5 linked regions of the Daphnia pulex genome follow. The protein of the gene in region 1 purifies or fractionates together with the protein of each later gene. This does not show direct contact. Links are inferred from orthologs where the notes say so. Each region holds a gene or a part of one and is shown in the gene's direction. Other genes may lie near its edges. The genes, in order: anaphase-promoting complex subunit 1-like, cell division cycle protein 27 homolog, anaphase-promoting complex subunit 2-like, anaphase-promoting complex subunit 7-like and anaphase-promoting complex subunit 4-like.

Evidence for each region.
Region 2: the proteins of anaphase-promoting complex subunit 1-like (region 1) and cell division cycle protein 27 homolog purify together in Homo sapiens (affinity purification with mass spectrometry; 16 studies listed by BioGRID and IntAct, with this or other methods). This does not show direct contact. The link is inferred for Daphnia pulex from reciprocal best matches to the Homo sapiens genes ANAPC1 and CDC27.
Region 3: the proteins of anaphase-promoting complex subunit 1-like (region 1) and anaphase-promoting complex subunit 2-like fractionate together in Homo sapiens (co-fractionation; 8 studies listed by BioGRID and IntAct, with this or other methods). This does not show direct contact. The link is inferred for Daphnia pulex from reciprocal best matches to the Homo sapiens genes ANAPC1 and ANAPC2.
Region 4: the proteins of anaphase-promoting complex subunit 1-like (region 1) and anaphase-promoting complex subunit 7-like fractionate together in Homo sapiens (co-fractionation; 6 studies listed by BioGRID and IntAct, with this or other methods). This does not show direct contact. The link is inferred for Daphnia pulex from reciprocal best matches to the Homo sapiens genes ANAPC1 and ANAPC7.
Region 5: the proteins of anaphase-promoting complex subunit 1-like (region 1) and anaphase-promoting complex subunit 4-like purify together in Homo sapiens (co-purification; 13 studies listed by BioGRID and IntAct, with this or other methods). This does not show direct contact. The link is inferred for Daphnia pulex from reciprocal best matches to the Homo sapiens genes ANAPC1 and ANAPC4.

The regions. Positions count from the first base shown.
Region 1 is NC_060018.1:3,471,199-3,476,945, reverse strand, and holds the end of anaphase-promoting complex subunit 1-like, read left to right. Parts: coding exon 1-1,680; intron 1,681-1,744; coding exon 1,745-1,845; intron 1,846-1,903; coding exon 1,904-2,678; intron 2,679-2,751; coding exon 2,752-3,295; intron 3,296-3,354; coding exon 3,355-4,455; 3' UTR 4,456-4,496; downstream 4,497-5,747. Other genes in the region: kynurenine/alpha-aminoadipate aminotransferase, mitochondrial-like, read right to left, coding at 4,709-4,768, 4,845-5,053, 5,123-5,249, 5,321-5,500, 5,566-5,709. UniProt on the Homo sapiens protein: Component of the anaphase promoting complex/cyclosome (APC/C), a cell cycle-regulated E3 ubiquitin ligase that controls progression through mitosis and the G1 phase of the cell cycle.
Region 2 is NC_060018.1:4,688,596-4,694,330, reverse strand, and holds the start of cell division cycle protein 27 homolog, read left to right. Parts: upstream 1-2,088; 5' UTR 2,089-2,287; coding exon 2,288-2,311; intron 2,312-2,445; coding exon 2,446-2,521; intron 2,522-2,582; coding exon 2,583-2,730; intron 2,731-2,787; coding exon 2,788-3,228; intron 3,229-3,318; coding exon 3,319-3,498; intron 3,499-3,554; coding exon 3,555-3,681; intron 3,682-3,755; coding exon 3,756-3,898; intron 3,899-3,966; coding exon 3,967-4,413; intron 4,414-4,480; coding exon 4,481-4,834; intron 4,835-4,895; coding exon 4,896-5,217; intron 5,218-5,281; coding exon 5,282-5,474; intron 5,475-5,539; coding exon 5,540-5,658; 3' UTR 5,659-5,735. Other genes in the region: MPN domain-containing protein-like, read right to left, coding at 1-420, 484-653, 730-953, 1,026-1,172, 1,252-1,401, 1,471-1,623. UniProt on the Homo sapiens protein: Component of the anaphase promoting complex/cyclosome (APC/C), a cell cycle-regulated E3 ubiquitin ligase that controls progression through mitosis and the G1 phase of the cell cycle.
Region 3 is NC_060023.1:8,673,838-8,679,243, reverse strand, and holds anaphase-promoting complex subunit 2-like, read left to right. Parts: upstream 1-1,528; 5' UTR 1,529-1,640; coding exon 1,641-1,715; intron 1,716-1,794; coding exon 1,795-2,209; intron 2,210-2,272; coding exon 2,273-2,378; intron 2,379-2,445; coding exon 2,446-2,584; intron 2,585-2,661; coding exon 2,662-2,809; intron 2,810-2,867; coding exon 2,868-3,093; intron 3,094-3,159; coding exon 3,160-3,388; intron 3,389-3,460; coding exon 3,461-3,712; intron 3,713-3,781; coding exon 3,782-4,198; intron 4,199-4,264; coding exon 4,265-4,564; 3' UTR 4,565-4,667; downstream 4,668-5,406. Other genes in the region: kinesin-like protein KIF23, read left to right, coding at 4,908-4,918, 5,048-5,273, 5,352-5,406. UniProt on the Homo sapiens protein: Together with the RING-H2 protein ANAPC11, constitutes the catalytic component of the anaphase promoting complex/cyclosome (APC/C), a cell cycle-regulated E3 ubiquitin ligase that controls progression through mitosis and the G1 phase of the cell cycle.
Region 4 is NC_060017.1:4,025,513-4,030,978, forward strand, and holds anaphase-promoting complex subunit 7-like, read left to right. Parts: upstream 1-1,219; 5' UTR 1,220-1,396; coding exon 1,397-1,462; intron 1,463-1,765; coding exon 1,766-1,982; intron 1,983-2,047; coding exon 2,048-2,339; intron 2,340-2,418; coding exon 2,419-2,602; intron 2,603-2,664; coding exon 2,665-2,802; intron 2,803-2,869; coding exon 2,870-2,935; intron 2,936-3,005; coding exon 3,006-3,109; intron 3,110-3,238; coding exon 3,239-3,383; intron 3,384-3,478; coding exon 3,479-3,557; intron 3,558-3,619; coding exon 3,620-3,669; intron 3,670-3,733; coding exon 3,734-3,879; intron 3,880-3,966; coding exon 3,967-4,087; intron 4,088-4,149; coding exon 4,150-4,224; 3' UTR 4,225-4,276; downstream 4,277-5,466. Other genes in the region: myb-like protein K, read left to right, coding at 1-218, 332-954; E3 ubiquitin-protein ligase RNF185-like, read right to left, coding at 4,728-4,837, 4,895-5,006, 5,175-5,358, 5,431-5,466. UniProt on the Homo sapiens protein: Component of the anaphase promoting complex/cyclosome (APC/C), a cell cycle-regulated E3 ubiquitin ligase that controls progression through mitosis and the G1 phase of the cell cycle.
Region 5 is NC_060021.1:8,253,225-8,258,882, forward strand, and holds anaphase-promoting complex subunit 4-like, read left to right. Parts: upstream 1-2,071; 5' UTR 2,072-2,324; coding exon 2,325-2,439; intron 2,440-2,517; coding exon 2,518-4,665; intron 4,666-4,687; exon of another isoform or gene 4,688-4,748; coding exon 4,749-4,813; 3' UTR 4,814-4,849; coding exon of another isoform or gene 4,850-4,963; 3' UTR 4,964-4,999; downstream 5,000-5,658. Other genes in the region: condensin-2 complex subunit H2-like, read right to left, coding at 4,850-4,963, 5,027-5,263, 5,333-5,463, 5,549-5,658. UniProt on the Homo sapiens protein: Component of the anaphase promoting complex/cyclosome (APC/C), a cell cycle-regulated E3 ubiquitin ligase that controls progression through mitosis and the G1 phase of the cell cycle.

The DNA.
Region 1 (5,747 bases):
AAGCCGGCGGAGCAGCCTCATGCCCGATTTGACTTCGTCGATCATGCACGATTCAAGCGTTACTCTCAGTCCGATTCCGGCCTCGTCTCCTCCACTATCTTTCCGCACTCTACAGGATGCAGTGGGCTGCCAGGTGACACTCAAATGCTCCGATCGAAGTCTTTTAAGAACATTGCTTCCACCGTTATGCACCTCGGCTTTGGTGGAACGTTGTTTGAGTTCATTGCGAGCCGCATTACCTTCTGATATTTATCTGGCTGTCGCTTCTAAATTTTATTGTGTTCGTAATGCACCTGGCCCTTCGGACTTCTCTCCTCCAGCGGAGTTTGATGCCTTCCGTTCTACGCTCCTAACTTTATTGGGATTCGACGCCAAATCACTGGATATATCAATTTCTTCTATTGCCAGCCCCATTATTGAATCGAAGAAAAGTCGGACAAATTTGGAAGAAGGAGCCAACGAAGATTGGCAATATCTGGTGGAGTCACAATACGCTCGGATATTTTCCCAGTCGCTTGGATTAGATACTTCTCGCATCTTTAATCCCATCGGCCAGCAGTCGATGGTGCAAGTCACTAACGATTCGCCCTATTTCACGTATCTACCACACGTTTTGCTCGTGCTTCATCTACTCTTTGAGGACCTCAAGTTGGATGCCCTCTTGTGGAATGATGCCCAACTTTTGGTGACGCTTCTTATCCCTTTGGCTTCAGCTCTCAACTTAACGCAGTACTGTGATTCGTATTGGAGAGATTTCCCGCTCGTTTGGAACACCGCCAATATCAAACTGGGTGTTCTTCAACCAACGGATTTAGATAAACTCCAAGGGATGATTCAGCGAATAGAGGTTCCGTCCAATATTCACAGCCACCTGTTGGCGCTCATGAGTAAAAAGAAGATCCACAGCCCGTATCCACATGTAAAACTGGTCAATACTCGTTCCAGAGATATCATTACTCTCTTTGCCATCCTTTACGGAAGAGCGGATGAACATCATCTGGTGTCTGTTCACGAATACGTCCGCGATTTTGAATGGGTAGAACACACTGGCAGAGTTTCACTACCATTTAATGTTGTAGTTCCAAATGAGGAACGAAGACAGATCGCTTTGGTTTTAAAAATGTCTTCGTGCGGATGGACGCGGGAGGATCTCAACGCTTTACCAGCCGGAATAGGATTACCTTTACGTTATGCTCTGTTCCGTTGCCAACTAGATCCACCGACAGATTGGCCTGACGAAGCATACAAACTGATCAACCGACAAGACATGTGCCAATCCTCGGCTGGCTGCACTGTCCAGGTGTCGCCGTCAACTGCCCCGGAATTGAATTTAAAAATTGAAGCGCAAAGGAGTAAAACAGCCGGCAGTGGGGGTAATAGCAAAGACGACCATGCCGAAGACGGAATGGAAGAAGTAATTGAATTACCCATCTGGAAGTTACTTTTTCCTCGAGATCATCGTATCCAGGAAATTCGTCGTCTTCTTGGCTCTTCTCGACCAGTAGCTGTCGTCCTCCCAGCTTCGCAACAACAAGGACTAAGTGAACATGAATTGATCGAGGAGAGAGAGAAGCAGTTACTTGTACTTTGCATCCGTGTCATGGCCCTGTCTGTTGGCCGTGGAATGCTCACTCTTCACACTGCTACACCCACCGTCACGGAAACTTTGTCTATTCCAAAGTATATTGAAGAATTTTCTATTTTCTCTTCAATTTAGTTTAATCATTTTTCTTGTCGATTAAAGATTGTGTTTAAATGGTAAGACGCCTCACAATGGTGCGGCGGTGGATATGACGCACATTGACGTACCTGCCAATATGTCACTTTGGCCGCAGTTTCACAACGGTAAATCATTTTATTTGTGGCATGGAAAAATGTAACGTCAACTTCAATTTATTCGCAGGTGTGGCAGCTGGCTTAAGAGTGTCTCCGGATTCAAAATATGTCGACAGTAATTGGATTAACTTGAGCCGTGGTGGGAATCGTTCAGGAGCTGCAGTTGGATCAGCTCCGGGAGAGTTAAACGCCGAAGTGGCTGGTTTCCTACTAGGACTAGGAATAACTGGACATTTAAATAAATTCAGCGACCTTGTCATTCACGAGCACTTAAACCGCGACCATGAAATGACGCAATTGGCATTGGTGTTGGGTCTTGGCATAGGAAAGCGTGGCTCTATGGAAGCGGATACTCTTCGAATAATCTCTGTTTACGTCGAATCTTTGTCACCTGCTTCGTCATCCAGCAGCAACGGTTGCGGCGGGGGCTCGATTGAAGTGCCCCAAAATGTCCGTGTGGCTGCCCTCATGTCCATCGGTTTCCTCTATCAAGGATCGGCGCATCGCTACATGACAGAAGTGCTCCTGGCTGAGATTGATCGACCACCTGGACCGGAGATGGATAACTGTGTTGATAGAGAGTCCTATTCTCTTTCTGCTGGTCTGGCTCTCGGCTTAGTGACTCTGGGCCAAGGCGGACAAATGACGGGGTTAGCCGATCTCCGATTAGCAGATACTCTCTATCATTTCATGGTGGGAGGAACGAAGCGCAACTTTAACACGTCCAATGCCCGCCCCAGAAGCATGACGTCAGCTAGCTACCAGATTCGTGAAGGAAACACAGTCAACGTGGATGTCACTGCTCCAGGAGCCATTCTTGCTCTCGGGCTAATGTTTCATCGGTGAGATTATTGTTATTAAGCGAAAAGAATTACATTTTAAGTGTCAACCCTTTAATACGATTATTGTTTTTAGTACAAATAACGCAGCCGCGGCCAAATGGATGGAAGCACCTGATTCACAGCAACTACTCGACTCGATAAGACCAGATTTTCTATTACTGCGCACATTGGCACGGGGGTTGATCCTGTGGGACGACGTAATGCCCACGCGCGATTGGGTCGAATCCAATGTCCCTCCTAATATTCGTCGCTATTCACTACGCAATCCGGGTGATCCTGACAGTCAATCTCAACAAGTCGATTACGAAACTATGAATCAAGCTTTCTACAATATCATGGCAGGCTCATGCTTTGTCCTGGGTTTGAAGTTCGCAGGATCAGCCAATGCGGATGCTTTCAACACTTTGTATCGTTATTCCAAAGTGTTGATCTCGCTGTCGGGTCGTTCCGTTGCGGAATGGGCTGGAAAAGCGACTCTTGAAGCCTGTCTCAACACTCTAGTATTGTCCCTTTCCATGGTCATGGCCGGTACAGGAGATTTGCAAGTTCTGAGGCTTTGTCGTCACTTACGCCTAAGGAGCGGGACCTTTAGTAATGTTGTTACATATGGATCACATGTAAGTTTGTGTGTTAAAAGTGTCTGTTGATCTTTAATCATCATTTGGTTATTTTGTAGATGGCGACTCATATGGCACTGGGATTCTTGTACATGGGAGGTGGCCGGCTATCACTTAGCACGTCGCCGGAGGCAATCGCTGCATTAGTATGCGCGTGCTACCCCAAATTTCCTACTCACTCAAACGACAATCGATACCACCTCCAAGCACTTCGGCATTTGTACGTTCTAGCAACCCAGCCCCGTTTGCTGATGCCTATTGAGATGCCCAACATGCAACCTTGCTACACTAACCTACAAGTGGTGTTTAATGACGCGGATAGCTCATCATTTCAGTTGCGAGCTCCTTGTCTGTTGCCTGAATTACGTTTTCTCCAGCGCGTCCAATTGTTTGATCCTCGTTATCGCAGCATCGTTTTTGATCGACAGCACAACTGGGGCAAGCTGGAATGCATTCTTCAAGGGAAAGACCACCTTATTGTTCAGCGCAAGGCCGGCTGTTTGTCATACACTGAAGATCCTACTGGTTTAGCGTCGTTAGCTACTCCGACCCTTTCGGCCTGGGCTATTCGTGCTTCGACGGTCGCCAATTTCACCACAGACAAGTTCGTCATATTCCTTTGCCGTCACTTTCTCGGCGCGTCAGACCGTGGCCAATCACAGATTCTTATCGAACAGGAGTCAAAACCATTAGAAACGCAACTTCGCCTTCTTAGTCTCATTCTTAATGACTGTGTTGTAAATGAAAAGACCGAGATGGTTAAACCATGGCTCCAGCTTCTACACAAATCTGATCAGAGGGACTCGTCAACTCTTCCGCTCTGGCAACTCAAGTTTCTCATCAACTTTCCCACGAAGAACTTGCCTGCCTCTGTTAATTCAACACCTTTCATCGATCCAGAAATGGTGCTGGCTCTTCGTCACGAACTTGAGTCTAGCTGGGATCACCTTGATACGGAATTGCGCACCAGCCTCAACACTTATCTGTCGGGTAGAGATACTCCCCGTGAACGATCGCAGTCGGTAAAGTTGGCCAACCTAACCGTGTTTTATGACCTTCCGATGCCGATGCCTGAATTGGATTCCGACCCCGTTTCACTGTTGCTTCAATCAGGAGATCAAAAACTAGCTGCTCGTTTAGCCATTCTTCTTCATCTGTGATGGTAAATTCATTGATAAAATAATAAATTATTTTAATCTTGTTCATGGATTTGATTGATGGATCAACTAAGTGACAAAGATTGCATAAATGAGTGATTTGTATTTTCCACTAACTTAAAGTTGCTCTTTTCTACTTGTTCCCCAACCAAAATGATATTTCTAGAAATATCATTTATAGGTATCACTGTATATAGATACAGTATTATGCGTGATTTATTTGAAGTATTAACTCGGGGAATATCAAGATTCTTGATCAATTCTTCTTTGTCAGTTCAATTTCTTCGCGTATTAGTTCAGACAAATTACGGAATCCCTGGAAGATTAAAAGCAAAAAAATCTTATAGAATTCATAGTTTTTTTAAAAAATAATCAATGTTTATCGAAAATACTCGATCAATGTTTTCTGGAGTTGGCAGAGAAAACGACGCCCTCATGTAGGGGCACGGCTGAGATGGATCCGTCATGAATTCTCGGCCAGGTAGTAAAATCACATCTTTTTTCAGGGCTCGTTCCATAATCATCGGTCGTGTGTCACTGATTCCCAAGCATTTGATCCAAAGAAACATCCCGCCTTGGGGTACGTTCCATTCAGCAAGTCCTTGATGCAGAAATATTACTTTACAGGTAAGCTTGTCGATATTCGGCATTTATTTCTTGATTTTTCAACCTGTCAAATGAGTTTCCGCTGCTTTGAGCATTATTTCACGCTGCTGAAGATAAAAATTCTGAACGCGATCAACGTGTCCCATGAAACCTTCCTCTCCCCACTGTTTTAGCAGTTCTGAGACTAGAACCTATTGTTTGTAATTTTCGGTTTCAGTTTGATTCTTCTCTTGTAACGTGTATAACTAGTTAACTACTGTACCTGAGACATAGATGACGCATGAATAACTGACACCTGCATGTGGTACAAAATTCGTTCCATGAGTGGACGAGGACCTGTGACGTAGCCAAGACGAATTCCGGAACTCAGTACTTTGGACAGTGAATCAAATCGAACGACACGGCCATCGGTGTCGATAGAAAGAAAACTTGGAGTCCGCTTCTGTAGAGAATCTTGTTTAGTTAACGTAATTTCAGGGGCGCTATTAAATGTTTCTTAGGGATAACCTTATCAAACTGTAGAAAATAATATGGATCATCCTCCAAGATAATTAGATCGTAATCTTTGGCAATCTGGTATATCTCTTGTCGTCGATCCAAAGGAATAGAAACTCCCGTTGGATTGGCTCCTGCAGGATTGACATACAACACCTGAAAAATATAACAGCCTTTAAATTATGCCTATTCAA
Region 2 (5,735 bases), about 1.2 Mb from region 1:
GACGTCCAAGTTCAAGTGGTCGAGATTCGGTAGGAGGAGACACCCAGTAGCACGTCAAGTGAGTGGTCGACGTTGATTGGCTAGGTTCCGCGTGATGGAACGGTGCTGAATAAAAAAGTAAAGTGAACAGGTAATGATAACATATAATAGTAAGGAATATTTCATTACATGAAATCATCGCTACGCAAGGTCGGTAACCTTGATCACCAGTTCCTTTGAGTTTTAATTGATACTCGAGTTGTGAATCAATATCTTGCACAGTTGGAGTGGGCGGTGATAAAGGGTGGCTATGATACCATCCTACCAAGCAAAGTCCAGCACTCTCTATTGATTGAGCGATTTTGATTTCGGTAGCTTGGCCTCGTTTATCATCAGTCGTAACTCGATTTAAACAAGGGAACGCTTGTTTAATCGTGAGTGCTAAAATGAATCACACAAATTATTGTGGGTATGTGTTTTCTAAACATATCAGTTAGCACTCACTGTTCGTGTTAATGTCCCATTGGCCTGCTAAATATCCAACAACTTCTGAACGCGTTAGAGAGCAATGAACGTCCATTACAACAAGAGCAGTCGTGTTTAACGATATTAGAAAAGGTTGAAGTTTCCCTATATTTGCGAACGATATGGCTTCAACTAACAAATTTGGATCCCTGGTAACGAAACGACAATAAGAAATAGAAACTAGAAACAAACTCCAAACTTAAAATAATTGTTTTGTCTACTTACTCGATACTTGTCCTGTTTCCTAGCGTTTCGTGCTTTATAATTTGTCGATCACCGACAGTTTGTTTCATACTCATTTGAATTACTGGTTCAGGTTCCAGCAGTACAGGCTCATTAGTGGACAAATTACAATCATCAGGAGTCGAGTTGTCGCTAACCTGTTCTAAACGTCGTTTACGCATCCATTGGTTTTTATATACATCCAAAGGCCTGCCACAATATCGTACCTACATCATTTAAAAATCTGAACTAAATTTACTGAACTTGATAACGAGAATTTAAACATATTTTATGCTTACTGATGACCAACCACAACCATATTTCTGTTCGGGATTAACAATTTTTTTGCAGCGCAAGGCCCACGCCGAGGGTGAACTAAAGACTTCTTGAACTTCAGCAGAAAAAATTTTTCCATCTGCCAGTAAGTCCCCATTAAATTTTTGTCCCTAAATAAATTCACATAGGGAATAGAAGTTTTAAACTTGGAAGATAAGAAATCTAAAAGAAATATCGTATAATGTTTACCATGTACTCTAGTGACATAGCACCTTCTTTTGGTTGAAGGATGTTATCTTCAAGTAACATTTGCAATGTGACTCCTCTACCAGTAAATCCACCAGCAGTTTTGGACTTTTTCTCATTCAGTTCTTCATCTTCATTGCCATCCATGTTATCCTGTAATTTTTGTCATAAAATTGTTATTCATTGGAATTTTAATAGCACAAAGTATTATTAATTAATTACCTCTCCTTCCATTTCAGGATCTAATGTTGCATTGTGGGTTTCAGACATGTTACATTGCTCATTTGTGTGTTCAACACTAACTGATGTGATCTTTTGTTGTTCTTGAGGATCTGCTTGATCACTAATACTTGAGTCTTCTGATGCTTCAATCATGCTTATGCCCTGTATTAAGAACACAGCTTTAATATTGCTAAACAAAAGGTTTACAACTAAAAAGAATTAAATTTGAAAAATATTTGTTTATTTGAAGTAGATTAATTGAAAAAAGGACTATTAGAAGAACTAAAAAACACTTAACTAAAAATTCATATTTTAGAATTACGCGCCTTTTTTATTAATTGTTATTAAAAAAACGTCTGATTTACCTATTCCAGTACCATAATTACAATTACAACCACGTTATTTCGAACAATCTAGGCCAAATGACAGTAGTTAATACATTGCAACACTTAAATTTACCTGAATAAATAACTTGTTGACAATTTCGAAAGCAAATTGTCCAAGTGCGGTTTAATAATAAGATTGATAAAACTGACCGTTGAAATGTCAAAAAATGTCAAAACTGAAGCATCACGATTTGAATCAATTCATCGAATATCGTAGATTGATCGATACTTAGTGAAGGCGATACAGCGATACTCGAAACGGTTTGGTTAAAAAGAGGAAGGGGCAAAAAAAACTTTGTGTTACATTAAAACGTAAGCTCCGACGGCAATTTGGTGGAATTATTTTGACTTAAATTGATTTCCGTCCATGGGAATTCAAACTTGATTGTATATCTTCATAGATTTCATATGTTAACTCATTACTAGTCAACATGTTGGTACAAGAACCTGTCCAGGTTAGTAACATGTTAATCAATGATGTTTAGTGATCTAAAAATTGCATATATTTAGGGTGTACAATGAAGGGGGTTTCTTTGTATGCCAGTTTTTGGTTCATTTTCAATAATGGTTAAATTTTTCTAAAATGCAGGCGGCTATCTGGCATTGTCTTAATCACTACAACTATTGGAATGCTACTTTTCTTGCTGAGAAACTTCAGGATGAAAGTATTATGTGTATACTTAATTTGTAAAGGTTATTTTTCCATAAATCTTATGTTTCTTTCAGTTAATAATGAGGAAAGCTTGTATCTTCTGGCCACTTGCTACTATCGGTCAGGAAAAGCGAATCAAGCAAGAAGTTTACTGCAATCAAAAGGAACTCAGTCGCCACAATGTCAATATCTGTTAGCCAAATGTTGTTTAGATCTGAATAAGTATGTGGTTATTCTCATTGAAAATAATTAAAATCTAAAGAATGTGTTTTTTTTTAGGCTTGCTGAAGCAGAAGGAACATTGATGGGTGGAAATATTTTCAAACAAAAATCTTTGGATGATGTTGTGACTGAATTTGGAGATGCTGCTGCTTTTGCCCTAGTTTTGTTGGGTCAAGTTTACATGCAGACAGAACGAAAGTTCAAAGCTATAGAAGTACTCAACAGAGCTCTTAAGCTTAATCCATTCCTGTGGGCTGCTTTTGAGCTTCTTTGTCGGCTTGGTGAAAAACCAGATGCAGAAGATGTCTTTCAGTTAGAGGGATTGGATAATTTCTCTCATTGTCATGGAACAAACCCAATAGCTTCATTGATCACTGCTCAGATCAATCAATCACATGATGCAACCACTAAAGTACATCCTCATGAACCAATGTCTGTTGACCAAATCTCCACTCCTATACTTCAAGTCCCTGCAGCTGATGTTATAGTAAACACAAGGTAAACATGGCATATTATTTAAAACACAAATTATTTTGAGATTTAATCACCATTTCTTTACACAACTTGTGTATTTTACTATATTTCTAGCACTCCCCTACCATGTGTGCCTCTTATTCATCACAATATACCTAATTTGACACCAGATGATCAAATGATTCCCTCTATACCGTTGACGAGTACCATGGCTCCAACACGTTCCAGAGCACGGTCGTTCCGGCTTCGATCAGTCTTTAAAGCCGGTCAAGCGCTGTCTCCCATGTCCCCCAAGTATAATTTAAGTTTCCATTCACTTGATGACACTTTATTTAATTTACGTAATTTAGTTTTGGCATCATACCTTTGGATATGTCTTCAGCAAGCGATGCTTCTCAAAGTTCGATGGTCTATTTGTGTCCCTCGCTAGCCCCACCGGTCTCTGAAACAAAAGAAGCAAAGATAATGCCTAAACGGGTATGATTTTTTTCCTTTTAAACAAATAATATAGAGTGTTTCATAATCTCTCCAAATGCTTATGCTGTTTTTAGTTGGGTGGTCGTCGTGAAGCAGCTAGCACTGCTCCAAGCGCGCCTTCACGTATGGGAGTTTTCTGCCAATCCGGAAATACAGCTACACCGACATTGTCTTCACCCCCAGCCGCTAACGTGAGGAGAAGTACACGACTTTACAGGTTTCAGTAACATTTGTGTATATATAAATTCGTATATTATTAATTAACGTATTCTATTTTGATCACAGTTCGAACAATTCCGTTAAGGAGAATAACAAAAGTAGCTCTCGTTTTGTTGTGCCCAAGTTGCCACTGAAGCGTAGCAAATCCAAACTTACTAAAGGTGATACCCCGGAAAGCGGATTAGCACCTATTAGCGATTTTCCAGAGCTAGTAGGAAAAATGGATAGAGAGGATGAGAAACAAGCTACCCTACCTACTCATTTAACTTCGGTGCAGACTCCACCATCAAATTTGATTCAAGAGGCAGTCCAAATGCAAAAGCAGTCAGCTGAAGGACTTATGTCTCTTCTTCGGATTGTAGGCAAAGCATTTTCACACCTGACTTCATATGAGTCTCGTCAAGCGATTGACACAATAGAATGGCTCTCCGCACGCCACAAAAGATCAAGCTGGGTCCTCTCTCTTATGGCTAAAGCTTACTTTGAACTGGCAGACTACAAGCAAGCTACTAGGTTAGTTTTACTTTTATCTTGTGTAACAGTTTGACAGGAAATTGACAGATATTTTTTAATTATTAAGGTTGTTTCAAGAAGTGCGTGAAATGGAGCCATATCGCACTGATCTGATGGAGTATTATAGTACTGCTCTCTGGCATCTGCAGCAAGAAGTGTCACTCTCGGCATTAGCACAAGACATGCTGGAACAAGACAAAATGTCAGCTGCGACTTGGTGTTGTGCCGGAAATTGCTTGGATTTGCAGAAAGATCGCGAACAAGCTCTAAAGTTTTTCCAACGAGCAATCCAAGTTGATCCTAAATTTGCTTATGCATACACTCTTTTGGGTCATCAGTATCTTGCCCTCGAAGAAACGGAGAAAGCCATGGATTGCTTTAAAAATGCTGTGAGAGTTGATCCTATTCATTATAACGGATGGTAAACCTTCTTTAACAAAGCAGCATTAATTGATTTGTTCTAACTTTTTGTTTGTGAAAAGGTACGGTATGGGAATAATTTACTACAAACAAGAGCGCTATTCGATGGCAGAATTTTACTTCAAGAAGGCACTGGATATCAATAAAAACAGTCCAGTGCTAAAATGCCACGTCGCCATTGTGGAACATGCGCTTCAAAGGACCGATAAGGCACTTCAAATGCTCAATTCAGCACTTCTAGTAGAAGAACGCAATCCCCTCTGCAAATTTCACCGTGCTTCTATTTACTTCGCCTGTGATCGACTCGATGAAGCATTGGCAGAATTGCACGAGTTAAAAGAAATTGCTCCGCGAGAAGCTCTCGTTTATTACCTTATGGGAAATGTATGACCAAACTAACGTCTTTTTAGTCTTTTTGTCGTATTTCATGTTACTCTTTGCTTCTTAGGTTTATAAGAAAAGAAACGAAACACATTTGGCGCTAACTTACTTTAGTTGGGCAAATGATTTGGATCCAAAAGGAGCAAGTGGAGCAAGACGTCACATCAAAGAGGTAATTGACCCCACTTCCTGTCTGAGCCTTGTTCCAGTAAGTGGAGTGTCTCAAGAACCACTTCAAGCCTCTATCAGCAACGATCAAGGTAACAATTAAAAAAAAAATCACTGCAGTTTTTCTGTTTTCAATGTTATCACAATTTTTACGCAGATGAGGGAAGCACCGTGGAAGGAGGCAATCACTCAGGAGCTAGTAACAATTTATCCAACGAGTCTCTGGAAATGCCCCCTTTGCCCACGATGGACAGCGGTGATGGTGATAATTTCTAATACAATTGAGTAGCTAGTTCTAATATGTTGATTTGTTTACTAGCATGTAAGCGTCAAATTGTCGAGCAGTGAAGTTC
Region 3 (5,406 bases), on another chromosome or scaffold:
CCTGTGTAAACGGCCGGCCAACTCCGTGACGCTAAAATAAGACCAGCAGTGTAGACTTATAACTATCGGGAGGAGTTGGAGAGATGGTGAGAGAGAGAAGCCTATAGTATACTGAAACTGATGATATGTATAGCCGAATAAATAGGAAAGGAGGTTGTGTCCGAATGGGCTGCGTGTGATGCGGATGGCGATTTTTCCCTCCCGTTTCTTCCATGTCTGGTGGATGGTCGGTCGGTCGGATCTCGGTTGGCGCGGGAGCGACGCGGCGGTGCTGCTGCTGGTGCGTGAACAGGTCAACGGACCGCCAGCCCCGCCGCCTTCTCTAGATTAACTCGAGTTAAATTATAGATATTCTCTTATATCTTCGCCTATCTAGCTAAGACACAAATGAAGTTCCTTCCGTCCTCCGCTAATCCCTCCTCTTCGTGAAAGATGAACGCGTTCAAAATAAATACCTAGAAAGAAATATTTTCATCGCGGGTCATCGTGATGATGATGATCATTGCCCCGGTCAATTCCAACTTCTTTTCGCTTTGCCTCCCATCCAAATCGATTCTCGGTGATGTTTTCTTTCACAATAATTGGCGTGTCTGTGCATAATAGCTGTGATGATCACGGCTGCGTGAATATTCGAGAATGAAAGCCATCAACTTTCGTTTCTTTTCTTTTTTAAAACGTTTAACTATGTTATACGATTCGATATTTCCTATCGCTCTTCTTTTCTTTTTATGATTTTATTATATGATCTTAATCATGTTCACGGTGTATTTTGCTGATGGGTCGTCAGATAAGAGCGCCAATAACTGTCGACTCCGCCACCACCGTCGCGCTGTCGTTGGCTGTCAACTCCAGTCATGTGAATCACCGTCGCCGTCGCAACACCCGGACTCTCATCGCAAGGCAGAAAGAATAAACCGTTAGCTTTTGGCAGATGTGAATTGTATGTGTGTGGCTTTTCCAGGAGAAAAACGAACCCGGTTGAGTTGGCACATCATCCTACTATATATATACTATTTGGATTTCATGGGCAACAGCACAAGAGTGCTGCTGCGAAATCGTTCGTCTTTTATACACCGCAGACTCTCTGACCAGCAGCCGATGAACGTTTCCAGCAGCATATTTATTAATCACATGGAGCCGGGCAGCGATGCTGCACATTATCAAATGACATCAGCTTCGTGCTGCACCAGATGCTGGCTAGTTTATACATTTTGATGAAGAATTGTTACTTGTAAATCAACTTGCGACTCAACCCTGCGACCGCGGGTGAAATCGAAGCGTGATGTTTGCGCGAATTAATAGATTGAATGTGTATGTTCATGTCGTTTGAACTTATATTTAATTTATTATCTTTTTTAAATACTGAAGGTGGACATTTAAAGCCCCAAAGCTTTTTTGTAGAATTATATCCGGAAAAGTATTTTTTTTTTTTGACGCCTCCTTAGTTCTGGTGCATATAGTTACCACCAGTCGTCTCTAGTTGTCGTTCTTTTATTTTGGCGGGTGGACATTTGTAGCCCAGCAGACGAAATTAGCAAATTTTTTGAAATAACAATTTTCTGTTTTTGTCTGAACTGAAGTTCTTATGAAAATTGTATCTTTTTCTAAGAGCGTGTTAAAACCCAAAATTTTCGCACGAAATGAACACAGTGAAGCCAGTTTCATCTGCTTGGGACTATCTGAAACAAACTTTGAACCTTGATGGAAAATGTCAAGTATGATTCTTTTTTTGTTACTTGTAGATTTGTTTCATTACTCTTGTTTCACGCTCACCGTTTGAATTTTTACATGCAGAAGGAATTAGACAGAACCGAAATTGAAGGATGTGCAGAATTCATTGTTAACCATGATTTGGTAGACTTCAGCAAGGAATTGGTTTGGCAGAAGCTGTTCAATGACACACGAAATAGGATAACCCCTAATTTTTGGTCCAGATTTGAAGTGACTCAGAATGAAAATTCTGGTTACGAAAACTATAGGGAGGCTGTTAAAGTTCTGAACACCGACATTAAAAGCCTTCAGCATTACTTTTCCTTGTTGGATCACCTGTCAGGAAATGTCACGCCAAAATCATTCGCCCAATATCAGGCACACCTCAGTGCAATTTTGCTGTCTCAGATACCACCAAAGTTTGAATGCTGTGTGAATTTCTTCTACAGCCGAGCTTTCAGAGCATTCATGTCTTTAGAAAAAAGGAATTTTAACTTTGGTATTATACTTGTTCTAAAGTAGGTTTATAATTGAATTTTTAATTTACATCTTTCTACTCAAGATGGAGATGAGTCTGGTGATGTTATCACTCACTGTTCAGGGTGTGACCAAGAAATTGATCAATGTGAATGTAATGTCATTCTAGACAATTGTCATAACACCAACAAGTAAAAAAAAAAAACATTTTTCTCTTTGATTATGTTTCAGCACATTTGATCATATTTATTTTTTTAGGGCTTTGGCTGAAATAGGAATACTTGAGAAACTATCTGTGGGGATGATTCACACTCTCATTTTGACTCAAATCCAATCACATGTCCAGGATTCATGTGTAGGAAACTTTTCCTCTTCTCAAATTGAAATGCTTGAAAAGGTATTTTATTAATGTGCTAATGGTCTTAATGGGCATTTGAATCACCCTGTTCGTTTCTTGTTCTGAACCATTTGCAGTGGTTGCAAAACATAATTTTTCGGTGGTTAGGTATCGTCTATGGAGAAGACTACATCCAACAGGATCAAGTGCGAAAAAATTTTACCCAATTCCTGTACCACGCCTATACACACGCTAGAATCGAACAGTTATTCGAGATCATTATCGGTTCGTCAATTCCAAATCATGTATTGTGTTCATTGTTTCATAATCTTTCTTGTAATAGGCTACCCCGAGAGCTTTCCTTCGGTAAAGGATTTACAGGAATGCCTTTCACGGACGCAGTTGAAACCAATTTTGGCGCAGTCTCTTAAAACGACTTTAGAAGCAAGATTGCTTCACCAGGGAGCCACAACAGAAGACATACTAATCGCCTACGTATCGGCCATAAGAGCGTTTAGCGTACTTGATCCCACTGGCGTGCTTCTCGATGTAGCGTGTGATCCGATCAAGTATTATTATTATTCAATTTCGATCCGTCACTTTTGGCTTATGATGTATTCAACTATTTCCAACAGGCAATATTTGCGACTTAGAGGAGACACTGTTCGGCATATAATTCACAGTTTGACTGACAGTAGCGGAGAGCTGGGCGGAGAGCTTGAGTTGGGAAGAACGGGAACTGCTATACTGGATGAAGAATCTGTTGCAGCAGTTGGAGATACCGAAGCCTCAACCGATTGGGAAAATTGGCTTCCAGCACCAAGCGATGCCGATCCTAGCAAACTTTGGACAGGAAAAAAGCCGGTAATTTCATCTTGTTAATAAAGATGTTTTTAAAATAGTTTCGGTTCTGTAAAACAAATTCTTATTTAAAAGGGCGATATTGTACCAATGTTGGTGAACATCTACGGCAGTAAAAGCCTGTTTGTCAAGGAATATCGCAAGCTTTTGTCGGATCGATTGCTCCTGAACCTTCATTTTGACACAGAAGAAGAGATTCGTAATTTAGAATTTCTCAAAATTCGATTTGGAGAAAACGAATTGCACAATTGCGAAGTGATGCTCAAGGACGTGGCAGACTCCAAGAGAATCAACACCCACCTACAGTCGGTCGTGCACAAACCTGAAGTACGTTTTTAATTCGTTTAGCGCATCGATAAATAAAAGTTAATTTTTTTTCTATTTATTTCCATCCAGTTTCCGATTTCGGCTATGATTATATCAGCTCAGTATTGGGACCAGCTGAAGGACAAACCGATGAAGTTGCCGATCAAAATCATCAACCAGCTCGAACAATATAATCAAAACTATAAAACGGTGAAAACGAGTCGTTCTCTGCATTGGGTACCTCAGTCGGGTTCTGTGGAACTGGAACTGGAGTTTGATAATCACCGTTGCGTGTCTTTCACCGTCCCGCCCGATTTGGCTGCCATCATATCTCATTTTGAAGACAAGGATCAATGGGATTTGGAAGAGCTTAGCCAGGAAATGGAATTACCAATGTCTCATCTTCGAAGGCGAGTTCACGTGTGGCAAACACACGGGGTCCTCCAGGAAATTTCTACTGATCGCTTCAAAGTGGATGAAAATGGACCAAATTTCACAGGACATAAGGTATATCTTAAAAAGTTATTACCGTTTCTCAAATGTATGTATTTTGCAATTACGTCCTTTTCGTAGATTCTTTTAGAAACGCTAGCGAAAATGGAGGAAGAAGAAGAAGATGACGACGAGGAAGATAGTGAGAAAAAAACGGAAGAAGATGGTTTGCAAGTTTATTGGTCGTACGTTGTTGGCATGCTGACAAATCTCGAAGCCCTTCCAGTTGAGCGTATTCACCAGATGCTTAAAATGTTTACAATGCAAGGCTCTAGTGGGGCAGAGTGCACTCTGCAACAGTTGAAAAATTTCCTTGATTCAAAAGTTAAGCAACAGTTGTTGTCTTTCTCCTCTGGAATGTATAGACTCCCCAAACCATGAACTAATTTTTTTAATGATAATTTAAAAATGTGTATTCATTACAATAAATTTTCTGAAGTGATTACCTCTGTAATGAAATAAAAAGTTGTTAAAATACGTTTAATATTTGTATTCGAATTTTCAAATTTCAATGTCATAAATAAGTCAGGTTACTGGCAACGCTGTATTTCGAATTCACACCTGGCGATTTGGCGATGCTGCACTCAGTTTGAATGAAACGACAATCGACAACGGCCAAAAAGTTTGCCCACTGCACAGACAAATCGGTTTACATTTTGAAATCCCTCATTCGTTTTAAATATTTGACAGGGGTTCATAAGTACTGAACCGAATAGGCTCGAAAATGAAACCATCGTAAGTTTTCTACAAACCGTATTAGTGTGTGATTTGTGTTTCGTGCTCTCTTCATGTCCGATTATGCTCTTTTTTTCACTATGCTTTGTATACGAAAGAAGTTAAGAATATGTTTTATGTTGATCTTAGGCGATTGAAGATTGCACCTAAGGTGCCAACCAAACCACCAATTACCCCAGCACGGTCCAAACAAGCATTGATGACTTCCAGAGATCGGGATCCTGTGCAAGTGTATTGCAGAATCAGACCTCTTGATGTCCCCTCTGATGATTCGTGTGTAACTGTTTTAAGTGACACTGTAGTTCAAGTTGTACCTCCAGAAACTTCTCAAGGTTACAGAAGTGGAACGACAAAAGTAAGTTGACACTTTATTTCCCAGCAATTTATTTTTGAAAGTACTTTCAGTATTTTAATCTTGCTTTCTTTTTGATAGGCAACACAATATACATTCACTGGTGTGTTTGACGAGAAGACCACACAGAAACCTA
Region 4 (5,466 bases), on another chromosome or scaffold:
CGGTGGAAGCGCGGCCGGAATGCAAAGTCCTCTTCAGCAATTGGCCCTCCTGCAGCAAATGACCAACTCCAACAACAACCCCATGTCCATAGCCTCCGAACTGGAGGCACAGAAACAGGAAAACTTCCATTTGCAGAACCAAAAACAACAGCAGGGTCTATTAGCTTCGGTTCACATCAAGCAAGACCAGATTGCAACAGCACAGGCAGCCATAACAAGTATGTATGCGTGTGACACACAAATGACAGTCGAATTCCGTTCACGCCATTAAGAACCGTTTGATCAGTTGATTGACCTCTATCTTGTTTTTCCTTCATTCTTGCATTTATAGATCAGAGTAATATGGTGAACGGCCACCAACCTGGTGCTGTGATGCAAGCGGCGCTCAATCCACAGTTGCAGCAACTTCAACAGAACCTGGAAGCGCAAAAGCAGCAGCTCTTGGTCCAGCAGCAGGTACTCCAGCAGCAGGTGAAACCGGAAGCTCAGCAATTTAACAAACAACAAATCCTGATGGCCCAGCTTCTGAACGAGCCTCCGGCTAAGCGTCCTCAGCTTTGGGAACAAATCAAGCAGACGGTGACGAAACAGGAAGCTGCCATGATGGTCAATCCGTTGGCCCAGCAAGGACAGTTGGGCTTCTCTCAGATGAGCCTGGCGCAGCAGCCGAGCAGAAGCCAACAGGAATTGCAACGATACCAGACGTTGATTCAACTCTTGGGTTTGGCCAATCTGGCCTCTTCAAGCAACCCCAACCGCCAAGGATACTACACCGATCCCAATAGATCAATGGTCGCCGGTGGTCTACCTTATTCATCGTTCGGGAGCAATGCGGCAATGAGCGTTCAGGCCGTACAAATGATGCATCAGCAGCAAATGCTCTTGCTTCAACGACAGCAACAAATGATGATGCTTCGACAGCAAATGGCGATGATGAATCCGTTCATGTTCTAACATCGTCCTCCCTTTAATAACTTTATTCTTATATTTATGTTCCCACACTTTGCTCCCTAAATTAAAGCGTCCACTTAATTTTATTTGCATCTCTCTTTCCTGTTTCTCGTCGAGGAAGGAATAAAATAAATATACATTGTTTTACGTTAGTAAAATATTGAATGTTGTTACTGAATGTTGAATTTGATTAGATAATAATTTAATTTTTTAAATAATTTTAACGAAATTAGTAGATTCAGCATTCAGTACGCTGGTGCGCCGGTAGGCCTACGCTGTTTGTTGTCTCTCCGTACCGATAATCCCGCACTTTACGCGTTTCCAACCCTTCTCTGCACTTTACCACTTTATATTGTGATTTTCTTATTGGTGACTGCTGATCAAGTTTGTGTTATAGTTTTTTTCTTCTCTTTGAGTATATATATTACTTTCAGAGTTAGTCATTATGATTCTTCACGAGCAAATTCAAATGTTGTTTGATAACAAACTTTATACAAATATTGTTGCTCTGGTAACTATATAGTTTCTTGTGCTTTCCGTGAATGTTATCGATAGCTAAATGTCACCATTGTATTGCAATGCTATAAATATTAACAAATGTTTTAGTTATATCATTTATATTTTTGTTTGGGCAGTAGTATCTACTCCTACAACTCATATTATTCCATTTTGAATAAGTGCTACTGGTGACTTTTACCTTGAGTATGACAATAGGAATGAGTTCAGTGTAGATTTCATTCTATTACCATAGACTACGAAGTAGTGTAGTCTATGCTAATTACCAATCTAATGAATATCTGGAATTTTTCTACAGGCTCCAATGGTTCTTTCAGCTACTGATAACAATCCTGAGCTTTTACCTCCTGCAAGCATTGCCCAAACAATGGTGTACCTTGCAGATTCATTCCTTGAACAAAAGGAATATGGAAAAGCAGAAGTTTATTACAGAAAAGCCCTAGATCTGAGAAAAACCCTTTCTAAACAAAGGGGGATGGGAAATAGTGCTGCCAAAGAGCTTTCAGCTGAAACAGGTTTGATGTTCTGTTTTAAAGTATAAACAAGTTTTTCCTAAATAAGTTTGAAATAACAATTCTAGAGATTCGCTATCAAATGCACATATGCCACCTTGCTTTAAAACAGTCAGTGCAAGCACTTCTTGTCCTTCAAGGGATCCCAGCCAAACTACGATCAGTTAGGGTTAATATGGCTTTAGGCAAGTTGTATGTTATGAATGGGCTTGAACGCCCAGCCATTTCTGCTTTTAAAGAGGTTATTCGTGAATGTCCTTTGGCCCTAGAAGCTATATTGGCTTTGATTAAACTTGGAGTTAGTTATGTTGAACTTGTTCGTTTAATTTTTAATGGAAACCCATCAAATAACTTAGATTGGTGAGTAGGCTCATATGTATAAAATGTAAATCTTTGTTGAATAATGTTTATTTTCGTTTTTTTCCCTTAAATTCTGAAGGGTTGTTCAGTGGATCAAAGGACAGTGCCATCTTCATTCTTGTGAATATTTGAGTGCTTCTACCATTTTTTGCCATTTGCAAGATGCATCATTGCTCAAAGATGATGTAACAAATTTGGTATCACAAGGAACAACCCTTTTCTTGGCCGGGGATGGAGCGGGCGCCCTTCTACCGCTTCAACGAGTATGTTAAATGATTTGAGAAAAAAAATATCTGGTGCTCATCTCATATTTGCGTTTGTTCAGGCGCATTCCCTCGATCCTTTGTCGCTAAAAGGAATGGATATTTTAGCAGTCATTTTAGCGAATGAAAAGAAAAGTGTTGAACTTGAAGCACTAGCTCTCAAGCTAATCTCTGTTTCTGATTCTAGCTTCGAATCGTGGGTAAAATTATTTGTTTTTTATTTCTAATTACCCTTGTTCCTGTATTAATTTTAATTTATCAAATTAGGTGGCCATGGGATACCATTATCTTTTGTCACGCAAACTAACTCGCGCTCTGTACCTTGCGCATAAAGTAAGATAGCAATGCCGATGTGGTCTTATTACAAATAGTTTTAAAAACCGCGCAAACATATTTCTCATAGGCTTGCACATGTTGCATTCCAACCCCTGGGATAGAGCCCCTAATCCTTAAGGGTACGATTTTACAAGAGCTTAAAAAATGGCCTGAAGCTATCACACATTTTAGGTAAGTCCTGTGATGTTTAAAAAAAAATTATTGAAATATATTTTTTAATTATTGAGATATTTTTTAAATTTTAGTAATATTTAAAAAAAAATTATAGTAATATTAACAACAAGTTTAACATGATAATAGGGAAGGATTACAGACAGCTCCGCACCGATTCGAAATCTATCGTGGTATAGTTCACTGTTATCTAGCGCTTCAGCGAAGTCGAGAAGCCATGAATATAGCTGCTAGCTCTCTTCATCATATTGGTCATACACCTCGCACTTTCACGGTTAGCATTCTTTACAGTGTTTCGTGTTAATCATTCGTTTAAAGCAGATTTTTATCAAATGAGCCATTAATTAAATTGCTGACTGCTCTTTGCAGCTCTACGCATCCGTCCTGTTGAAGGATCCTGTTACAACCGCAAAGGGCAAGGTTTTCCTTGAAAGAGCTTTGAACATGGGTAAAATTAACATGAATAGTTTCCGGTGTAAAAAAAAAATTGTATAACGTTTTCCGTTGTAGATCCTCGATACACTCCAGCTGTATTCCTTTTAATCGACTCGTATGAGCAGGTGAGTAGCTGTACAATCCTACAGAACCACTCACTGAACTACCATTGACTACAATTATTTTCAGGCTGGCCAGAGATCAAAAGCCATTGAACTGCTTACTAAGCAAATAAATCAGCAACCTACAAACAGGTTACATCATATTTTGGGAGACCTATTCATAAAAAATGGAGATATGGATAAAGCATTGGAACAGTACAATTCTGCACTAATGTACGAGAATCTTTATCACTTGATTTTACTTTAACTTGCATATTCACATACTATGCATGTGTTTAATTTTTTTCTTTGTAATTTTAGGCTTGAACCGAATAACGTAAAAACCATTGAGGCCATCAATAGGCTTGAAAACGCATTGGTAGCTAAACTAGAAAATCATCTGGATTTGGAAGCTGATGATCTTCCTGATTCTGATGAAGAGGTAAATTCAATTTAAAGTGAAAAACAAAATATATGCATATGTTAAAAGCTATCGTTTTCAAGCCAACCATTGAAGAAGTCGACATCGATCCTATGGGTGGAATGTGGGCCGACATGAACTTGGATCAATTTCGGTAGTTTCATGATTTATTTGTACAATCACTCAAAAATACATTTTCTACAAAAAGTATAATCCTATTAGCGCTTCCCGCATTCTATTGATTTTATCATCGAAATGAAAAATTAATTAGCCTACCTTTTCCATATTTGGTTCTCTCAGGTGTCCTCTGAGGATTACTTCATGTATACTGTAATTATTTTCATTTTGTTATTCACTCCCCAAGAATATCTTGATGACCAGCTTGTACAACCAATTGATCAACTAATTTAATTAATATATAGTCTAGTCCTTTCTACACATTTTAAAAAATATGGTTTAAATGTTATTCACGAATGATCTATTTAATAAGGGAAAAATTTCATTTAACAAGACTTGCAATCTCTGAACATTTCACTTTTAATTTTCATATATATAAATCCACTGTCTAGGAAATTTTCGAGAAATACTTCATTAAAAGTATAAACCCCGGGAATCTTTAGAATAAAAAATTTACAACACAGAAGAACCAAGAACCACAAGTTTAAGCTACCAATAACCAAAAGATAAAAAGAATTGCAACCCACAAAAATAATTGTGACAAAAAGCGTTCGTCTTCCAAATTTGCAGGATTTGTTCCATGGGCTCCGTGACCTATGCAAGATTTTTACTATTATTAACCAGGTTGATTGATTTCTAATGTATCTTCACCTCTAATAACAGGATCACCAAAGTTGAAAGTGGAAGCAAATAATCCAAATGGAAAGGCTCCAATTCCAAAAGACATTTGAAATCCCCCATCAAATCCAAAATTCGAGAAAGCCTGAAAAAGTAAATTTGAAAAAGAAAATGATTCAGTAGTCTGAAATGTTTGGTCATGGTTAATAAAAAAATATTATTCTTATTTTACACTTGCGTAAGGGTACACAATATGTGTTACCAACTTCATCATTTACACAATGAAATGTAGTGAAATTATATAAATATTTACTCCTGTATTTTCTGGTTCTGTCCTTTGACCTTGAGGTCTAGGAGGCAATTTCTCTCTTGGATCTTCTTTTGAGCCCCCACGTCCATATAATGGTATAACTTTATCTCTGCTTATAGCAGCTTTGCAGACAGGGCATGACTGCCTGTTTGGTCTTGTTTCCAGCCACTGATGCAAGCACGGCCAGCTTCATGTAATAAAACAGGGAAATTAAACAACACAATCTCTGAAAACATGGAAACATTCCTTAGACTTGTACCAAAAAAGATGTCCACACATACTAATGACTGCATCT
Region 5 (5,658 bases), on another chromosome or scaffold:
GCTGACGAAGTTTGACGTCACCTCGTTTAACTCGGTGACTTGCGTTACGTGAAGAGTACAGAATCCGGCTCGACTTTTATAATTTGGCGTTGTCAAACAAACGATTCGTCGATGACAGTGATTTGATGATGCGCCCATTGATCGTATCTTATACGACAACAAACGAGTAAGGCTAATGTTGTGCTATAACTGAAGTTCACAACGGGAAACGAGACCTTACTGGTTTTGATCAAGAGGTGTACGACACTTGGGTGGGCGTACGTCATTAAGACCCGTGCACCCAATACACCTACTGTATAGGTAAAGTCTATGCTCTACATGGACGCTTTTAAACGTGAACTCTGGATAGGAAATACGTAGCGGACGTTTATATATAAAGTCTTAATATAGCTGGGGAAATTTGATTTCTTTTTACCAGGCTCTTTTCTTTTTGCGAGTCGAGAAGCAACAAAAGGACAAAAACTTGGACAAAAAGGGTTCCATTAAGGATATCTACGTAGGCACATTAGATCGATCATGCAATACATTGACGGCGGTACTATGTTCTATTTTTAAACATTGATTTTTCTTTTAAAAACAGGCAAAGGCACATCAAAAATGAAAATGCGGAAAAGAAAAGGGGATAGAAAATTGATATTATTCCGCCTACGCTTTCCTTTCCACGTTTTCTCTTCTGTTTGTCCTTGTGTTGAATAGTCTGTGCTGTTTGCTTATCTGGTGAATGGAAAGGAGAATTACGCGATTGCCGTTGAATTGATGAGTGTCGGCCTGCATCAAGAAACGCGCGATTCAAGCGTCTCACATTCGGTCAAAGCGAAACCAATGATCTAATCTCGGCCCGACAGTCATGTATACAAACGGTCATGTCAAATAACGGAAAAATCACTGCCAGACTAAAAATAGGAACTAGTAAAGACAACAAATCCGAATCGCCTAAAAAAAAGAATGTTGGAATAATATTCAATCTCTGTTGAATATAGGATGAAGCTTGCTTGTTGGCTAGGCACGGATGAACTCTCCTTTCTCCTATTATTTCGAGTCTATATCGACGGTGGTTGCTATGCATTACCCCGCCGTTCGCAGTGTCCCCCCGGAGTCACCTCAAACCGACCAGAACGTTGGTGGTCCCGCTAGACTGCTGCATTGAATACAAATAAGATCCAACTCCATAATCGTGCCTTTTTTTCCAGTCTCTAGAGTCCAACGAATAACGAGCACTGATACGCATAATCCACAATCATTGAACTGTGTGAACAGGAGAACGTCAGCAAGCAAAAGAAAGTAGTTGTGTGGAAATCGAAGTTCTTGTTGCTCCTCATCCTCTTCAGGAGCACTATATAGGCTAGGTACTGGTACAATATACATTTAGAGAAGATGATTTTTCTTATTTGGATATCGACTTTTTCTTTCTCCCATCTGACTACGTGTTTTTTTTTATTTCGTTTACAAGTTGCTACGAAAACACAATCGTCTAGACGTAAAAGCACAAATTCGCTGATAACGAATAAATAATGAATCAATGTTGTGCCACTCCGAAGGAGCAGAAGTGTTCCCCCCGCGCGTGAGAGCTTCTGCACATTGCACGAAATGGGAGACCCCGTCAACGCCCACACGTTTTCCTAAGGCTAAGTGCGGTAAAATATTAGGCAACTGCTACTGTATATAGCAGCATGACGTTTTATTATTATCAACGACCGGCGACAAGACAAGCAGAAAACAGAGCAAACTCTCATGAAGGTAAATAATCGTGTCGCAAAGGGAGTTCGTTATTTTCCGATCGATTTCTTTAGCACCCGCGAACGCACGGGAGCGATGCTTCGCTTAATCCTCGATGCCTAAGAATAGCGCTCATTTTTTACGTGGTGAGGTTATCAACTGGGTTTCTGTTTGGCCAAGAGATTATCCTATTTGCCAGAAACCCGAATTCAATTTCGCATCCATTTACGGATAGACGAGCTTATGCTTGTTGAAAAGATGCGGCGGCAAATGCCTTAAAAAAATAAATTTGGGGAGACATTCTATCACACTGTGTGGCTATTTATTCAGTTAACGAACTACAGCCATGGACGTCAAGAGCCATGCGATACAATTGGCCTCCAGTGGTGACTGAAATAAAAAGCGAATAACGTTGAACACTTGAAGGTAACACGTAATAAAAAGGTAGAATTCAAATCTGAATGTTTCCAGGCAGTTTAAAAATCGACCGCTAGATGTACTCAAGTTGCCTAGAGAAGAAACCGAAAAAAAGTTCGAAAAGTTGTAAATACATGTTCCTTAATTTCTGTCTAATCGAGATTGTCGTGTAAAAACACAATCAGCTTAAAATGGTGTCGTGTATGATGAGACAGAGTGACGAAAAACACATTCTTGGAACTGCGTCAACAGAAATCCTTTTGTGGTCTTCCAGACGAGATCTGATTGCCGTCTCAAACAGCTCTGGTGAAAACTTGCAATCCTTCTTTTTCCCATTGTGTTACTATGATAATAAAATTTGTTTTGTATGTTATTTTCTTGTAGGTGAGGTTTTTCTGAGAAGGTTGTCATGGAGCAAAGTTTGGAAGCTTTCTAAAAGAGGTGATGGTGTCAAAGTCACAGCGATCGTTTGGAGACCAGACAGTGTGATACTAGCTGTAGGATACAGTTCTGGGCATGTGGTTCTAGTTGACGTTGAATCTGGAGAAGTAGTACACACATTCAACCCATGTGAGGAACCCATCACAGCTCTTTCCTGGGAAAACTGCAGCACAAGTGTGAAAGAAGAGGCAGACAATTTTTTGCTGCCAGAACTGCTGCCTCAACCATTGAAAGTTAACTCTTCAAAGCTAGATGCTGGGTCAGCACTTGATGGCGACAAAGGATTGAAACATGAAGAATTACTGAGCATTTTGTGGATTGGACTAAAGAATGGGTTAGTTTACGGATTCGCCTTTGGACTCTTTCCTTGCTGCCTTCTAAAACTTTCAGAAATGAGTGGTGGGAGCGATTCAATCGGACCTGTACGAAGTGTTTTCCCGAATGGTGATCACAGCCAACTGTGTTTACTAGCCGATGTTCGTGCCGGATCCTCAGAAGTTTTACTCATGACTGTGGAAACCCCACTCATAACTCATTGTTTGAAAGAGTTGTACGGTCTAGGATTTCTCTATCGGCAGATAACTGGCCTCATGGACTGCCTAATCAGTGCTCAGAAAGCTCTACAAGAAGCCTGGGAGGATGCACTAGTCGACCTCGAATCGAAAATGGTTCGCTATGAAAGCAACGACGGCAAGAGTAGCTTATCTGTCGACTTGATGGAGCTCCTGATGTTTGGCCACGCCGGGATCAAGCTGGAGAAATTTCTTGTTACCGATTTGACTGACAAAGGATTGAAACGAATCGGCCAAGCCGTAGAGTTATCCTATAGCAACATGCAGAAACTGCTCATCAAACACATCGTGTGTGCCAACTACCAACTGTCGCACTATTTGACACAACTTTGCGGGCTGGCCAAACAAGAAGATCGTTTCTCATGCCTCGGCCTCCAAGTCAATTCGTGTTTAGCTGCATACCGGGCGGCCGGCTCTTTTACCGCCAAAACCGCTGAGCTTCAACAGGTGATCGATGGTTCTGTCAAGTACCTCAAGACATTCTTCCGCTGGCTTTACGTTACCATCTTGCGCCTCTCGGACGAGCCTATCCCACCCGAGCTTGCCACCAGTACCCAGCAAGATGTACGGTTTATCGCCAACTTCCTCGCCAAAGATTTTGAGACCGATGGACAAGTACGTCTGGATCGTATTGGGCAATATTTGAGGAATGAGCCGTTGACTTTTGTTGCCAGCTCTAAAACTAGACCCTGGGACATGTTGATAGAAGCTTGTCCATCTATTGCGAATCTTCAGGACTCGGACTTATTTCAACCCCGTGCTGAACGCTCTCTTGCTCAAGAGTTCGCCCATTTGGAACATCAGGTCAAAGCCAGTTTCGAAGCTATCCCTTCAGCTGTTGGACAGACTGCGTCGTTGCCGTTTATCACCGACCTGACGTTAGATTGTCCTTCGGACAGTCTGGACAAGATCAGAATCACAACACGATCCATCAACCAACCAAAAGATCGGTGTAATCTTCTTGGCTTGACAAATTCGACCACTCATTCTTCAGGATTTTACCTGTTTGAATTCGCCTCCGAGAAGGAACGTAAGAACTTGACTCGAGCAGCATTCTTCTCCTTTGGCAAGTGCGACCATCTACCTCCTGGCGAATATAAAATAGCTGATCTGCAGTTCTATAACAACGAGATTATGTCAGTTTTGCTTTCGATCGAACGCAGCACGAATAGCATCTTCGTACAACTCAGTCTATGTCTGTTACGCGAACATTTGGCTCCCGTTGTGTCACGGCGAGGACCTTTTAACTCGTCCTTCCATTCAGACGTTTTCGTTTCATCAGTTCTCAGCCAAGGCAATCTTCGATCAGTGGATGTCAATACCTTTATTGAAGCAAGCTCGTTTCGTGTCTTAAACGACTTTCAGGCTACTACCCTCGGTCTATCGTCCAGTCGAAAGGTTGCCGCTATCTTTTCTTCGTCAAAAAGGAAGGTTCGCATATTTGACATGGAAGTTGAAGAGGAAGAAGACGTCGAAGACGAGGATCAGGACATTGAGGATGTTTCAGACTTATCGCACGGTACGTAAAAGTGAAAACCTGGTTAACTTTCAAATTGTTTATTATTAACAAGGTATGTTAATGGAATGGCATTTTTATCGCAGATATATCAAAAGATGGAGGAAATCAAAAGGATATCAGCGACGTGGATATGGCCGTCTCTCCCTGATGGACTATTAGGACCAAACATCTTGCTGACAGTTCATCAGATGAAATCGTCCATGTGTTCGTGATGCCTCTCTCGAGATAGGAGTTTTAGTTCCACTCCATCGAGAGTTAAAGCATCTTGAAGTTGAATTTCCACGTTGTAAGCGTTTGCCTATAATTGTTAATAAAATTGCATATCAAAACGAAATTGAACTGTAGCTTTTATGAAACTTACTAATTGCAGAGTGGCGAGAAAATATCTGGCTACTTCGTTTTTCGGTTGGTCATGAACAATTTTGGTAAAAGCACATTGGCTTCCTATAGGCGCATCAGACCCGAATTCCTCTATAATGCGACTTCCATAAAGGTGAATATCAAAATCACGACGCGTTTCGGCCTCACGAAGTCTCGGTTGAATCATATCATGCCACGCCTGAACTCGGCGGGTCGATTCAGTCGACGTTACAAATTCCTGAAAGAAAAATATATGCGACCGATTTCATTATAAATGTTTCATCAGAAGTAAATGGATCGTATGTACTTTGGCGGAAGCAGTATACTCTGCCATAAACTGCTGAACAAGTTCAAAAAACTGTTTTGATTCATCCATTTCTTTTGTGGGTTCTACCGGATCCCCAACAAGTTCTGGATGAAAACCGTCATATGAATCATCTGAAAAAAAAAAAGAGAGGGGGAGGGGGCTGATGAGTGAGTATCTCAATTTGAGAGATTAAGTTGGAGAACTAAGAATTATTACCAAGACCACCAGAATTGTCAAAACTATTTTCAAACTCTGGGGTATCTTTGTGGAAATGGTCATCGTCTTCGTTATTGATGTCCTGTTGGTCCATTTCTTCGATCCCTTCC